Coturnix japonica: one gene and its partner. The protein of the gene in region 1 interacts with the protein of each later gene in a pairwise test. Links are inferred from orthologs where the notes say so. Each region holds a gene or a part of one and is shown on either strand. Other genes may lie near its edges.

Region 1 (6,218 bases):
CGATGCTTTATGTAACGTCCTGGATACAGAAGTGTTTCCGTGGAATTCTTCTTTTATGACAATGCCTTCCCTGCTCTCAAGCCTGGGTGTGAGGTTGGATGAACCACAAAGAAGCAGGGGTGGAAATTCAACCTGCGTTCCTCTCCTTTAGGGTTTGCCATGCAGCCACAGATTATTTATTTACATGAGAATACGGGAGGTTCAAAATCATAAAGCACTGCTTCTATGCGACGATTTGCCTGGGAGATTTTCTCTCTGCCTCTCTGATTTACAGCCAGTAATTGCACACCACTTCTGTCACCATTCCGCTCTAGAGGTAATTCAGCACTTATTTACACCTTTGGTAAAGTGGTGTCAATAGATCACTGTCAATAGATGAGTGTCAAAGCAGGGGATAATCCGAACATACTGCCTCAGTTGTTAGCAGGAAAGTCTTCAAGTGATGCAGGTTTTCTCTCCCAGTAGATGAAAACTTAATGGAATTTAAATAACTACCAAATAACAGAACGGTAACGCTGAATATTTACCCAAAGTTCAGACTAACATAGAAGGTTGCCCAAAAGGGAACAGAAGCACAGTTTAGGTTTGAAATCGCCTGCAAAAGAATGTTAGCACATTAATGGCTCATATTTATAGTTGTGCCATAAGGGAACTAAGAGCCTTTTGGAATACTTGGGATTCTTACTTCTACAGCCAATATGCAAATGCAAACTCATGCACTGCACTGAGAGCACTGAATTGAGGTGTGCAGCGCCATGCGCTTCAGCTGCAGACAGAGAAGGGACTCATTGCAAACAGCTCCCTGCCACCTTCAGGCACAGCTCTCAAGAACAGGAGGCCTTGCAGTCAGAATTCACACTTACGGTGTTATGAGCATGGAATTTGCACAGGGAATAGCATCCAACACAAGCAGATAATTAACTCCACTTTACAAAGCTTTGATTGATAAATGGATTCGAAGTCGTTGAGAACATCTCAGCACCTTGGCAAAGAAGCCCCATGGATACAACCATTGCTCCGGTCCCATTGAGAGACACCTCCATGACCTCTCCCTTTTGATGAAGACCTTTCTAAGTCTCTAGGATTGCTCCACAATATTAAGCCAAAAAAGCTCCAGCTACCCCCATAACTCCGCACAACGTCAAATTCCAAGTTGGTTTCTCCAATTCATTATCAGATCTTTGGTTTCCAGTTTGTGTAAACCGAGGAAATATTTATGGCAAACTTATTTTTAGTCTGTTTTTCCTTTCATACTTTTCTTATTTCGCATTCCTTTTCTGTTTCTCTTCAGCTCTGTATAAATCTGTGGTTAACCACAATATTAAAACCTAACACGGTGCAAAGTGTCCCTGAAGAGAAAAGTAGCTCCTCTGGTGGATGCCAGTCGTGTGGGAGACGGATGCTGATGTTTATAACCACAGCCTCCTACCATGGGAGGTGGGAGCCAAGGGGGGAGCACAGCCTCCAGGAGCAGCCCCAGCCTGTGGGTGCTGGATTTGAGATCTCCAAGGAGTGGAGTGAGGACAGCAGCATGGCAGGAGAGAAACACCTCTTGCTATCCAATACTTATATGCCTATTAGTTGCATGGGATGAGCAGTACTCTTGGTACTGCACAGCTTCAAGAAACAAGGCATGATCCATCAGCAACGCTCTTGTCGTCCAGCACACTATTACAAGTGACTGTGAATCGATGACTGAGGAGGCCTGAAAGCACAGAGACAAACCTAGGGAAGGAACGTGACTTCCTCCATTTCTTATGCAGCTCAAGAGATCCAACATCCAAATGTTTGCAGCCAGATCAGAACTCTCTGCAAAACTGGGTATCTACGTGACAAAATTCCCTTCTAAGATTGGTTGCTGAGGATAACATTATATCCTGGCTGGTAAGCCAATACATCTCTCACAAGCATTAGGGATTCTTTAGGAAAGGAGCCAACTCCAGTTGGGTTCATGGAACAACTGCTTCTTTTGTATGCCTGCACTGCCACCAGGCATGACTTTGGGCTGGTTCCAGCCTCAGCTACGTGACTCTTCAAACTGACCAAGGAAAGAAAGAAAACACACCTCCTCCACCTTAACTGAGCCCATCGAGTGTTCACTTACAATTGCATACATTGCAGCTCCTGTGGGAAATCCAGGCTGTGGATTAAAATAACTGGAAAACTTCTGTCAGAAAGAGAATAACTTTTTAAAGAGAAACCTCAGTCTGAAAAACACTTTTTGGATAGTTTCCGAGCCAGTTTTTCCTCCACGTCCTGTAAAAATGGCTCTCAGCCCTCAAGGATGCAGAAAAACAATGGTGACCAAAATAACTGTTCTCTGGGGGCAATGAGCAACAACGCCAAAGAAGGAATAGTCAATAACCACTATTTACCTTTAGGAAAATTATCTTAATAATTTGGCATATATATTTATATACACATATCTCTACACATATATGCAGGCATACTTGGCTGGTTGCAGAGTGGTCTGTCACAGGTGTGAGCTGCACATACTGGACTTGGATATCGCTGCCTTGCAGTGGGGATCCATCAACTCCTCCTGATGCAGGCTCGGCAGATGCAACAGCTATCAGCTGAGCACCCTGCAACACCTGCAAGCAGAGCAAAGGAGAAACAGCTTGTGAACAGGCACAGCCAGGAACGCATTAGGAAACATCGACCTGAAAACAGATGCAACAACCAAACATGATTCAACAGAAACTTGAGAAAATATGTACATCAGTAGCAGTTTAAATAATGTGGGTCCCAAGGAGGTGGTACACACATGGAAGATTCTCACATAAGATTCTCACTGCATTTTGCCTTATGAGACCTGTATTCCCTGGAAGGGTTAACGGGCACCACACCTGGAAAGGTTTGGCTCCCTTATGATCCTAAACACAAAGTAAGTCATCCCCTATCTGTATCAGCACTAGCAAAGGAATAAATCATCCTGGTGGCCTGTGCTAAATAGGTCCATTTTAATTCCAACTCATTCTAACAACAGTTAGCACACTAAGTCACCAGTCCAATTACCACGTCTATATTCTCTGAGTGCATCCAATTCCCTACCTGCAACCCAAGCAAAAGCAAGGCTTGTAGACTTAAGAAGCCAAAGAGAGGGAAAAACCAAAGCACTGATTATGCTGTATAGTTTGTAAGCATGAGATGGTCTGTTTCACAGCTTGCAGCTATGAAAACTGATCTGTTTATTCTGCCAGCCGGCAGATGAGCGCAGCAGCTCCATCAGCTCAGGTTCCTCATAGGATGAGCTCTGCAGCCACAGCACTGAACTGGGGGAATCTGCTTTAGAAACCCCTTCTACTTGGTTTTATGATGGCAGAAAGAGAGAGGGTGGAGGGAGGGGGTAACAAAAGGCAGACACTGAGTTCACTTCTAGCATCCTCACACCTTCAGGTTGAAGATCAGAGGGTAGAAGCCAGGTTTGCTGGGAGGAAAAAAAGGAACTTGTTCAGTTTTGCTTGCTTGCTGCTGTCTCTTTGCACGGAAATATTGCGCTCCCGTGGCTGGGAAACATTTCAAAAGAGGTTTTTTTGGCCAACTGCTTCCAACGAGAGATAGTGGCTTTCCTAAGGAGTGGGCTGTTACCGCCCTCATGATAAATGACACCTCCCTAAGCGCTGCAAAAGATAATTGATGAAGGGTTCATAATTCTGCTAATGATTATTGCAAAGGGTAAGTGGGACAGACAGAGCAGTCAGCGCTGCTGTAATGTCAATAGCACACAGCCACCCCCCAGCTAATGTGTTCACTGTTATATAAATAGAGAGACGGAGCCAAGATACTTATTCTCACAGCCAAACACATTCAACTTATGACAATTTGTTGCAGCAATGTTTATCTTCCCATTGTACACGAAGGTGTAGATTTACAAATTACTGCTAATTAATGCTCGCAGCCACTGACTCTACACATCTTCATGCTGGCTGGTTGAGGCTGGGTCCCCTGTTAGCCAAAGAGCAACAAAAGAGCAGATGCTTCACCCAAAATCGCTTGCTTAAATGCATCCCTGTGACGAGAGCGACTGTAATTTACTACTTAAGTACAACTCAGAATAAAATATACATATGTGAACAACAGCAAGTCCCCCGATCTCATTTCAAAATGCAGCCAAAATACACAAATTCCGTTTAGGTTTCTATATGCTGTGAGCGCTGTTTTGTTTTTAACTACCTCTGGTATTTGAACCACAGCGCTCAAAAGATGCCTTTCAAACAGAGGAAAGAGAACTGAGAGCAAAAATAACATTCTGAACAAAAGCTTCCCTTACCCAAGTATGATTTCCCAGCTGATGGGAGGGTGGGTGGCCGTGAAGGAGTGGGCAGCACAACCCCTCCCTGGGGAGTGTGGGAGGCCAAGAGGTGACCCCTAGGAAGGACCTTTGGGGTGTTGGCAGGGTTTTATGGGGATCTTGGGTGTTCCGAGATACGGTCAGCACTGAGCTGCAAAAGGATGCTGCGTTCTGTTTTTACAGGAGCAAGCAAAAGCCTCTTGTCCTGCACTATTTACTTTGGAACGACATGATACGCCCTGTCAGAACTACATGGCAGTCTGTCCTATTGATTATCCGCAGCTCTAAAATGCATCTTGTCTCATTAACTTCCAAAGCACAAACTTCAGGATGACTTCAAGCAACCAAACCAGCCCCTTTCATGCACACAAATTGCTTTGACAACAAAGAAGCCTACAGCTGCTAACAGCACCAGCTTCCCTGTCTTAGGATGTGTAAAAGGACAGAGTTCATACAGCAGATCCAAACGGATCCAAACAGACCCCCTCTAATCAGGGAGAGCAAGCTTACCAAGATAAAAGCCCCAGCCCTATGACTTCAATCTGCCTCATTTCATATTGTTTATATATTGTTTATATATAATATATTCGTATTCACATTCCATTGTGTTTGCCAATACCACAGGTTTTATAGGGAGGCTGCAAAAATGACAGATATCAAGGGATCAATGGCTTTAAGTAGAGCAGTGAAGGAGTGGTAAAACAGAGACCTCAGCAATAGGGGCAGGTGTGAGGATATGGCTTTTCTTTGGCTGCTCACTCGGCTCCCAGACCAACACATCGACTTTGTGATTCTTACCTGCCCTTGACCTTAAAATAAAGGAGTTGTACCACAAAAATTAACAGTCTGCCCTGAAAATGAACCTCTGAAATGAGCTCTGCTGGGCTCCTCTAACATCCTGCCTCGCTGCTCCAAAACAGGTAACAGAATATGGTTAAACCGAAAAATAATAAACTTTCCTTCTAACAGAAGGGATTAATTCGTGCTCTGGACACCCACAAACAAGCAGCTCAGAGGCAGCTTCCACTTGCCTTTACATACCCCTCTATGCAGATGCAAAGTGCTCTTCAAGCACTGTTGGTGGCCTGGCCTGATCTTCCCAACCTTCCCATCTCAATGATGATAACACTGCATGGTGAACCTGCTGTACAACCCACCTCAACTACAAAGCACCATAGAACCCCATCCTCCACCGTACCCAGCAGCTCTCAGAAGAAGAAAATGTTCCCTTACTCCTTCTGAAAGAACACTAAGCGTGTTTCTATTAGTTTTGATTTTCAACCATCCTAGAAATACCAGAAGGAAAAGTATTTTGCTCAGCTGTTTATAATGAAGTGTGAACTCCTGGCATTGCCCACTCACAGAACCGCAGCCTCTCTGACCAAACATCTGCTTTCCTTAGTGCTTCCAATGAGGCTCAAGAGCCAATGGATCTAATAAAACAACCTGAGAGATGGAGGCACCCCTTCCGTTCTCATAAAGCATATTGTGCCCATAGACATCACCCACCCCTCCTTACAGCAACACATGGGCTGGATGGGACCCGCAGAGCCCTGCAGCAGCATCCAGCTGTGTTCCCATTCACCCCAACCTTGGCCATCCTCCTGTTGGGTTCTTTTTGCTTCCTTCCCCCTCCGTTGTTTTTCTATCCTTCTCTTTTCAAAGTCTCGATGGATGGATGGAAACATAAAAGCATTGAGTTGGGAGGTCCCAGATTTCTATTTTTGGCCCCGTCTTCAGTGAGTTTGCCATGAAAAATGTGGTAATAATAAAATTAGTAGTAATAATGAAAACCAGCTATTTTCTCTGCTCTCCTCCTTTCCATTTTTGCCCATAACTAAGAGTTCCATTCAACATTCAACTGCCAGGGCAGGAAATAATAATAATAATGAAAAAAAAAAAAAAAAAAGATTAAAACATAATA
Region 2 (6,218 bases), on another chromosome or scaffold:
ATGACCAGCAGTCATTCAGACTGCCATTACTGCCTGCAGTCTCTGCGTGGAAGGAAGTATGCATTAAAGGAAGAAAATGCTTACTGTGTTAGATGCTATGACAGCCTATTTGCCAACCCATGTGAGGAGTGCAAGCAACCTATTGAATGCGATTCCAAGGTAAGGATTTATCTTCCTTGTTTTTTGTTATTTGTTAGCCCCATTTCTTTAATAATGGACCCTATATCAGACCTTATGTGTACTGATGAAGGAACCTGAGCATAATGGTTGTGCACTTGTGCATAGCAGAGCTATTTTTCCAGAACAGGAAATCCAGATGAGGAAATCTGCTTGTACATGCACCTCAACTATCCTCTATAGATGTGGTATATGAACAGACCACATCTGGATTCCATCCCTCACTTCTGCTTGCTCAACAGCAGTAGAAGCTGCACAGAGCTTGAGGGACTTGAGGGGTTGCTCAAGTCCACTATATTTCAGTGGATTAAGTTGAGGGAAGTTTTGGAAGTTGAGAGATAGCCCCTGAAAAAATTGTCTGCAGCTATTCTGCAAGTTATTTCAACTGTAAGTGCTGACATACAGATATCAAGATGTAAAGAAACAATGTTTATAATATATTTATCTTTTACTTTTGGAAAAGAAGTATATTTTCATTTTAACTTAATTTCGTGCTCACCATGTTTACCTCAGATGAAATGTGACTGGCAGTGTTTCTGGGCTTGGCCTTCCACTTGTACTCTTTGATCTTTGACAGGGCTTCCAGCATCCTTTAACTCAATTTACAGCCTTTTGCACTTACAATTTTAAAAGACGAAACCTATCATAAACCTCTGATTTTGCTGAGTTTAGTTTGTACTGCTTGCTCACCTTCTCCCCATGCTCATTTTGATTATGTTCTTTTGAAATAAAAGAACCTATTGAATCTCACCACTAAACCATGTCCCTTCGTGCCACAATAAATGCTAGAACATAAAGTTATTAAAGTAAATCTCACAGGAGATTTCCCCAGCCAATATACTTTTGGCTCTCAAAGTATATTGTCTGAGTACAGCTCAGTTCCATGGAGGAGTAGTCAAAGGAAAAAACTGATATGAGTGATGACTGTTTGCAAATGCTCACCAGTGTTTTTTAGTTGCAAACTTGTATGCTCCAGTCACTGTCATCTGGAGAACATGTGATCTGAGCTCACTAACCCCACTTCTACAATTTAAACTTTAATAAGTGGCAGGACTAGTGAGATAAAAGGTCACTAAAATAAAAACTGTGTCTTTGGACTGAGTGGAAGGAAAAACAGAAAGAAAAAAGCAGGGGTAACAAGAAAGGAGTGTCACAGCTAAAGAAGTGACCTACAGAGCTATGCAGCAGGTTGTCCAACCTCTGCCAGGCTGTTGGAGCTTGGTTCTCTTCCTCTCCTTCTTATCCATTTCTTGTCTAGTGTGAGAGACCATTTTCTAAAAGGTTCAGAGTGCTAACTAAAGGAAATGAAAGTTCTCAGCACTCAGCAATGCCCCAAATGAACCCTGGTATGTATTTCATTTCTCATATTAGCATTTTAAGGAGTGGGGAACTGACAAAGTAGAAAAATGAGATTGGCTTTGTGCCTTTATGTACTTCTTACTTATAAAGAAGACCTGGAAAAATATGGTTAATTTTTTAAGGATTATTATTCTTCTGGTGATGCATTTTTCTCCTTGTATTTCCTAACCTTGGAAAAATAAAATCTGATGCTTGCTTTTTTATTATTATTTAATTATTAGTGGAGGCCTCATACTTATACTGCTGTTTCACCTCTTAAGCCTGCTGAGTCTTAAACAAATATATTTCTGCCAGATCTTTTAGAGGGAGTTATATTAGGTGTAAACAAAAGCAATGGTTTTTTAATATGTGTCCTAAGAACCATTTTGTTCTCTATTAATGAGATTTTAATTGCTTGTTCTCTGCAATAATATGATTGTTCTTTAGTGTTATGTAGAGTTATGCAGTGTTATGTAGAGTCAGCTGGAAGGAAAAGTAGTAACATTAAAAAATGCATGAAGTTCTACTTAAAAGTCTGTAGAGAATACACTTCTTGTCAGGAGGCCTCTGCACATTAAAAATGTTAATTACCCACTTCTCCTTGAAGGCCAACAGTAAAAAATATATGATGGGTCTTCCAATATAAACATCTCTCTGATGTTGTATGCTGAGGGACAATTGCCTCAATTGCCTGTGCCAAAGCAGTGCCTGTGCCTAATGGCCTAACAAGAGAGTTGCAAAATACCCTGACACAGTGACTTTGAGCACTAATATTGCCTTTGAGCTGGATGCAGCTCTTGAAGTTGACACTGCAGAGCTCTGCATTTTTCTCTTCAGTTCTGGGAGGAGATGAGGGAAAAGAACACTGTAAAGAAATGCCTTTGTTAACATGCACTCACTTTCTCCAAGGATCTAGCCTACAAAGGCCGCCACTGGCATGAGAGGTGCTTCAAGTGCACCAAATGCAGCCGCTCTCTGGTAGAGAAACCATTCGCTGCCAAGGATGAGCTCTTGCTCTGTACTGAATGCTACTCCAATGAATATTCATCAAAGTGTTTCCACTGCCAGAAGACCATTATGCCTGGTAAGACAACAGGGATCCTCCTGTGGAAAATGGAGCTGCATTTTCAATTAAAATCACATCCTCAAATAACCCAGCTACAATAGCGCAGCTTACTGGACTGCTGCTCCCTCCTACAGTACCCTGCCAGCAGGAAAGACAGGCCCTCTGGTCTAGCATTGGCAGGACTTATGAATCCTCATAAAGAATATTAGAGTTTAAAATAGAATAAAATGTGTTCATGCTGTGACCTTGATTCTGCCTGTAGTTCTTAGGAAGTGCATCCCACTGTGAGTATAGGTGGACAAACAGCAATCATCAGCAGGAGTGCTGAGATAAACAAGAGATCTGCATTTAGCCTGTCACGTTGGCAAGGCCTTCAGAACTAGAACTAGCTTACATTCTTTATAAACCACTTCTTTTGCACAGAAATACCTTACACTTCACTTGTCAAAACACTAAGTTCTGTGTTCAAATAATTATTAGTATTTTTACTACAAAACACATATGGATTTGTTTATAACAGGTTTGGCACCGTAAGTGCCAAAATGGAGTAGCTTGCCAAGGAGAGTCAGTACCAAACTATTGGAGCAGTGGACTACCCTAAATCCTTAAGCTTTTTTTACAGATGATTCAAATACCAGCAGCAAACTGTGTGCTGTGGCCTTGTGATTACTAGTTAGGACCATGAAAAATTATTGTCTTTTATATAAATACTAGGTTACTGGTATCCTAGTTCAGCCTGTAGCATTGAAAGCATGTACTTTTACACTTGTATTTCTTTTCTTCTTTGTCACAAGTAAGACATGCTAGTAGAAATTAACGTTGTAGTAATATAGTTGTGTTCATTGTAGGGTTGATACACTGCTTAAATGTGGTATATTGTTAGAATGTTGTCTAATAGAGAGGCAATAGTGCAATCAAAAGTGAAAGAAATTTCGTTTAAAGAAGATAAAATACATTAATATTTATACTAAACATCCAAACAAATTCATATTTAATTTATAGAAGTGCTATGTACCTGAACATCACATCATCACTGGGCTGTCTGGTCTGAGAGTAACTATGAGCAACTGGAGTGTATAACAGAGCAGTAACTCTAAAAGAGTAAAATAAGCATGGAATAAGAAAAAAATCACATTTTAGGCCACCTAGTGTGCCCTTTGCCAGTTGATCATAGAATACTGAATGAGTTTTTGAGATTAGCTAACATACTTAAAAACTATGAAATTGAAAGTAAGCGTTTTGGGGGATAATAAAATATTAAGACAGGAGATGAAAAATGAGACATTTAAAACCTTTTCTGCAAGACTGTACCTGGGAGCATTATTTGTGTTGGTTTTTGCAGGTTCCCGTAAAATGGAATTTAAGGGCACTTCCTGGCACGAATCCTGTTTTGTTTGTCAGTATTGCCAGCAACCACTGGGAACTAAACCACTGATCACCAAAGACAATGAGAATTACTGCGTGCCCTGTTTTGAGAAACAATTTGCTCATCATTGCTACTCTTGCAAAAAGGTAATTTCAAAAGAAAAACAAAAGGTAGCATACTACAATCTATGTTATTTTTGGTCAAGACCAGGTTGTCCAACAGCAAAAGTACACCAACAGAGACTCTTTCTACAGTCTATAATGTGCATGTTTAAAACAACCTCTGCAAATTCACAGTTTCATTCTCACCTGGAGATCTGAAATCTAGGTCTGCACCACACAATGGGTAAAAAAGAAAATATCAAAACATGTGAATTCTTAGATTAGCTCATTTCAAATATTCTGTAAAAGAACTGAAGATCAAAAAAAAAAAAAAAAAAGGGAGGGGGTTGAGAGGGAAGGGAATTACCTGTTGGAATTCTTGAAGACAAGTTGCACAGCTAACGAAGTTCAGACAGCATGCTTATATGCTTAGTATATTTTTAGTGCTTTACTCTAAACAAAACAGAAAAAGCAGGGAAAATGATCTTGAAATCAACAGAACCTCTTATCAACTACAAAAGCTTGTAATTGCTTTTAGCTCCTTTTCAGGAGCACCTGTGGGCTGTATAGTCTCTCTAATGGGTATTCATACCACCTGTTTTAAAGTATTTAATGTTGATGCTTCGATTGATGCCTGTCGTCTCTTTTTCAACAGTAGAGCACTCAAAGCATTTAGGAGAGCATCTGGGAGAACATAATGAACTTATGGTTCTCTGACATATTCCTGAGTTGTATGGATGAAGTTTGAAAGCTTTAATAATTAATGCCAGTTAACTTTCCTTATTCATGGAAATGTTGGTTGTAAGTTATGGAGATAAATACATCTAACTTCAGATACCAAAGAAAGATACTTATGCTCCTTAGTGAAGCAGTATTGCTCATGGAGGAAGGAGCAGCATCATGGAAAATGTTTGGTGAACTGATAGAAAAAGTCAAGTCTTCCCTTTGGCATTGATATTGGACACTGAAAGCTGACTGTGACATTGTTTGCTGTTCTCTTCCTTATAATTGATAAACAAGTTTATAGCAGCCTGTTTATTATTATATTTGTCATAAGTTTGTTCACCAAAGCAAATATAGTGGGGTTATTTTGTTAATGGTTGTGATTTTTAACAAAGTTCAATAATTATAATCAGTACTATTTAGTTGTGGTAATACAAGTCAAGTTTCCCAATATTTTAGAACACAGAGTTTCTTCTTTGGGTACCAGAAAGCTTGATTTCAAATGAGTTGATCTTTCTTCTTCCAAATACAAATAAATCATTTTATCTCTCCCTCAATTTCTCCTGTTTTAAAATTGTCTCAAGTTGATGAAAACACCCAATAATCTGATTCTGTTCTCTAGGGAATTGATTTAAGCTGCTTTTTATGACAAAATTTTGTTTATACTTTTGTATCTCATTCATTCATTCATTCATTCATTCATTCATTCATTCATTCATTCATTCACTCTCATACATATGTCTTGGCAGTAGAAATACCACCTTACATCTCATTTCATTTCTAGAAAAATTCCTTTATACAATCGCTGATAACTTCAGTGAAACCTACTCTTGATCGCACTTATAAAAGCCACAGAGCAGCTGGAAATTTCCCCCTTCAGATATAACCAATAGAGAGCTTTGAGTGAGTTGCAGGGAATGATAAATTTGATGACACTGACAAACACAAGTTTTATTTTCTTCTGACAGTGTAGAGCTCCTTTCTGTCCTATTTCTGCTTCTTTTCTGCCTCCTACATAAAATACTGTTTGAGTTTCAAGACAGCAGAATATCAATTCCATTTGGAGATTAACCCTCAACTCATTATCAGTTCTACCAGCCACTCTCCATCACTGAGAACTGTATGAGTATGAAGAATATGCCTGATGCTGCTCAGCCTTCACCCAAAGTTTCATAACAAGACAACCTGTTATATTATAAGCTGTAAGGTTTGTACACTGGTGTGTTCAGATCAGCTGCAGTGAGTCAAATTGAGATGACGCTGTCTCTCTTACGCATATTGTAAGGGAAAAAAACAAGTGGAAGGACTTGTGAAATACTTGATAATCCTTCATGATCCTTTGTTTCATTACTTTGTTCTGTTTTGTCACAATTTTAGGTAATAACTTCTGGGGGAGTGGCCTACCATGACCAGCCTTGGCATAAGGAGTGCTTTGTGTGTTCTGGAT

What was found.
Region 2: the proteins of BANP (region 1) and FHL5 interact in binary tests that used the Homo sapiens proteins (3 or more experiments, as listed by UniProt). The two-hybrid records come from large-scale screens. The link is inferred for Coturnix japonica from reciprocal best matches to the Homo sapiens genes BANP and FHL5.

The regions. Positions count from the first base shown.
Region 1 is NC_029526.1:16,146,966-16,153,183, reverse strand, and holds part of BANP (protein BANP), read right to left. Parts: intron 2,595-6,218; coding exon 2,451-2,594; intron 1-2,450. UniProt on the Homo sapiens protein: Controls V(D)J recombination during T-cell development by repressing T-cell receptor (TCR) beta enhancer function. Binds to scaffold/matrix attachment region beta (S/MARbeta), an ATC-rich DNA sequence located upstream of the TCR beta enhancer.
Region 2 is NC_029518.1:66,271,497-66,277,714, reverse strand, and holds part of FHL5 (four and a half LIM domains protein 5), read left to right. Parts: coding exon 1-159; intron 160-2,424; coding exon 2,425-2,599; intron 2,600-3,923; coding exon 3,924-4,093; intron 4,094-4,415; exon of another isoform or gene 4,416-4,763; intron 4,764-6,148; coding exon 6,149-6,218. UniProt on the Homo sapiens protein: May be involved in the regulation of spermatogenesis. Stimulates CREM transcriptional activity in a phosphorylation-independent manner.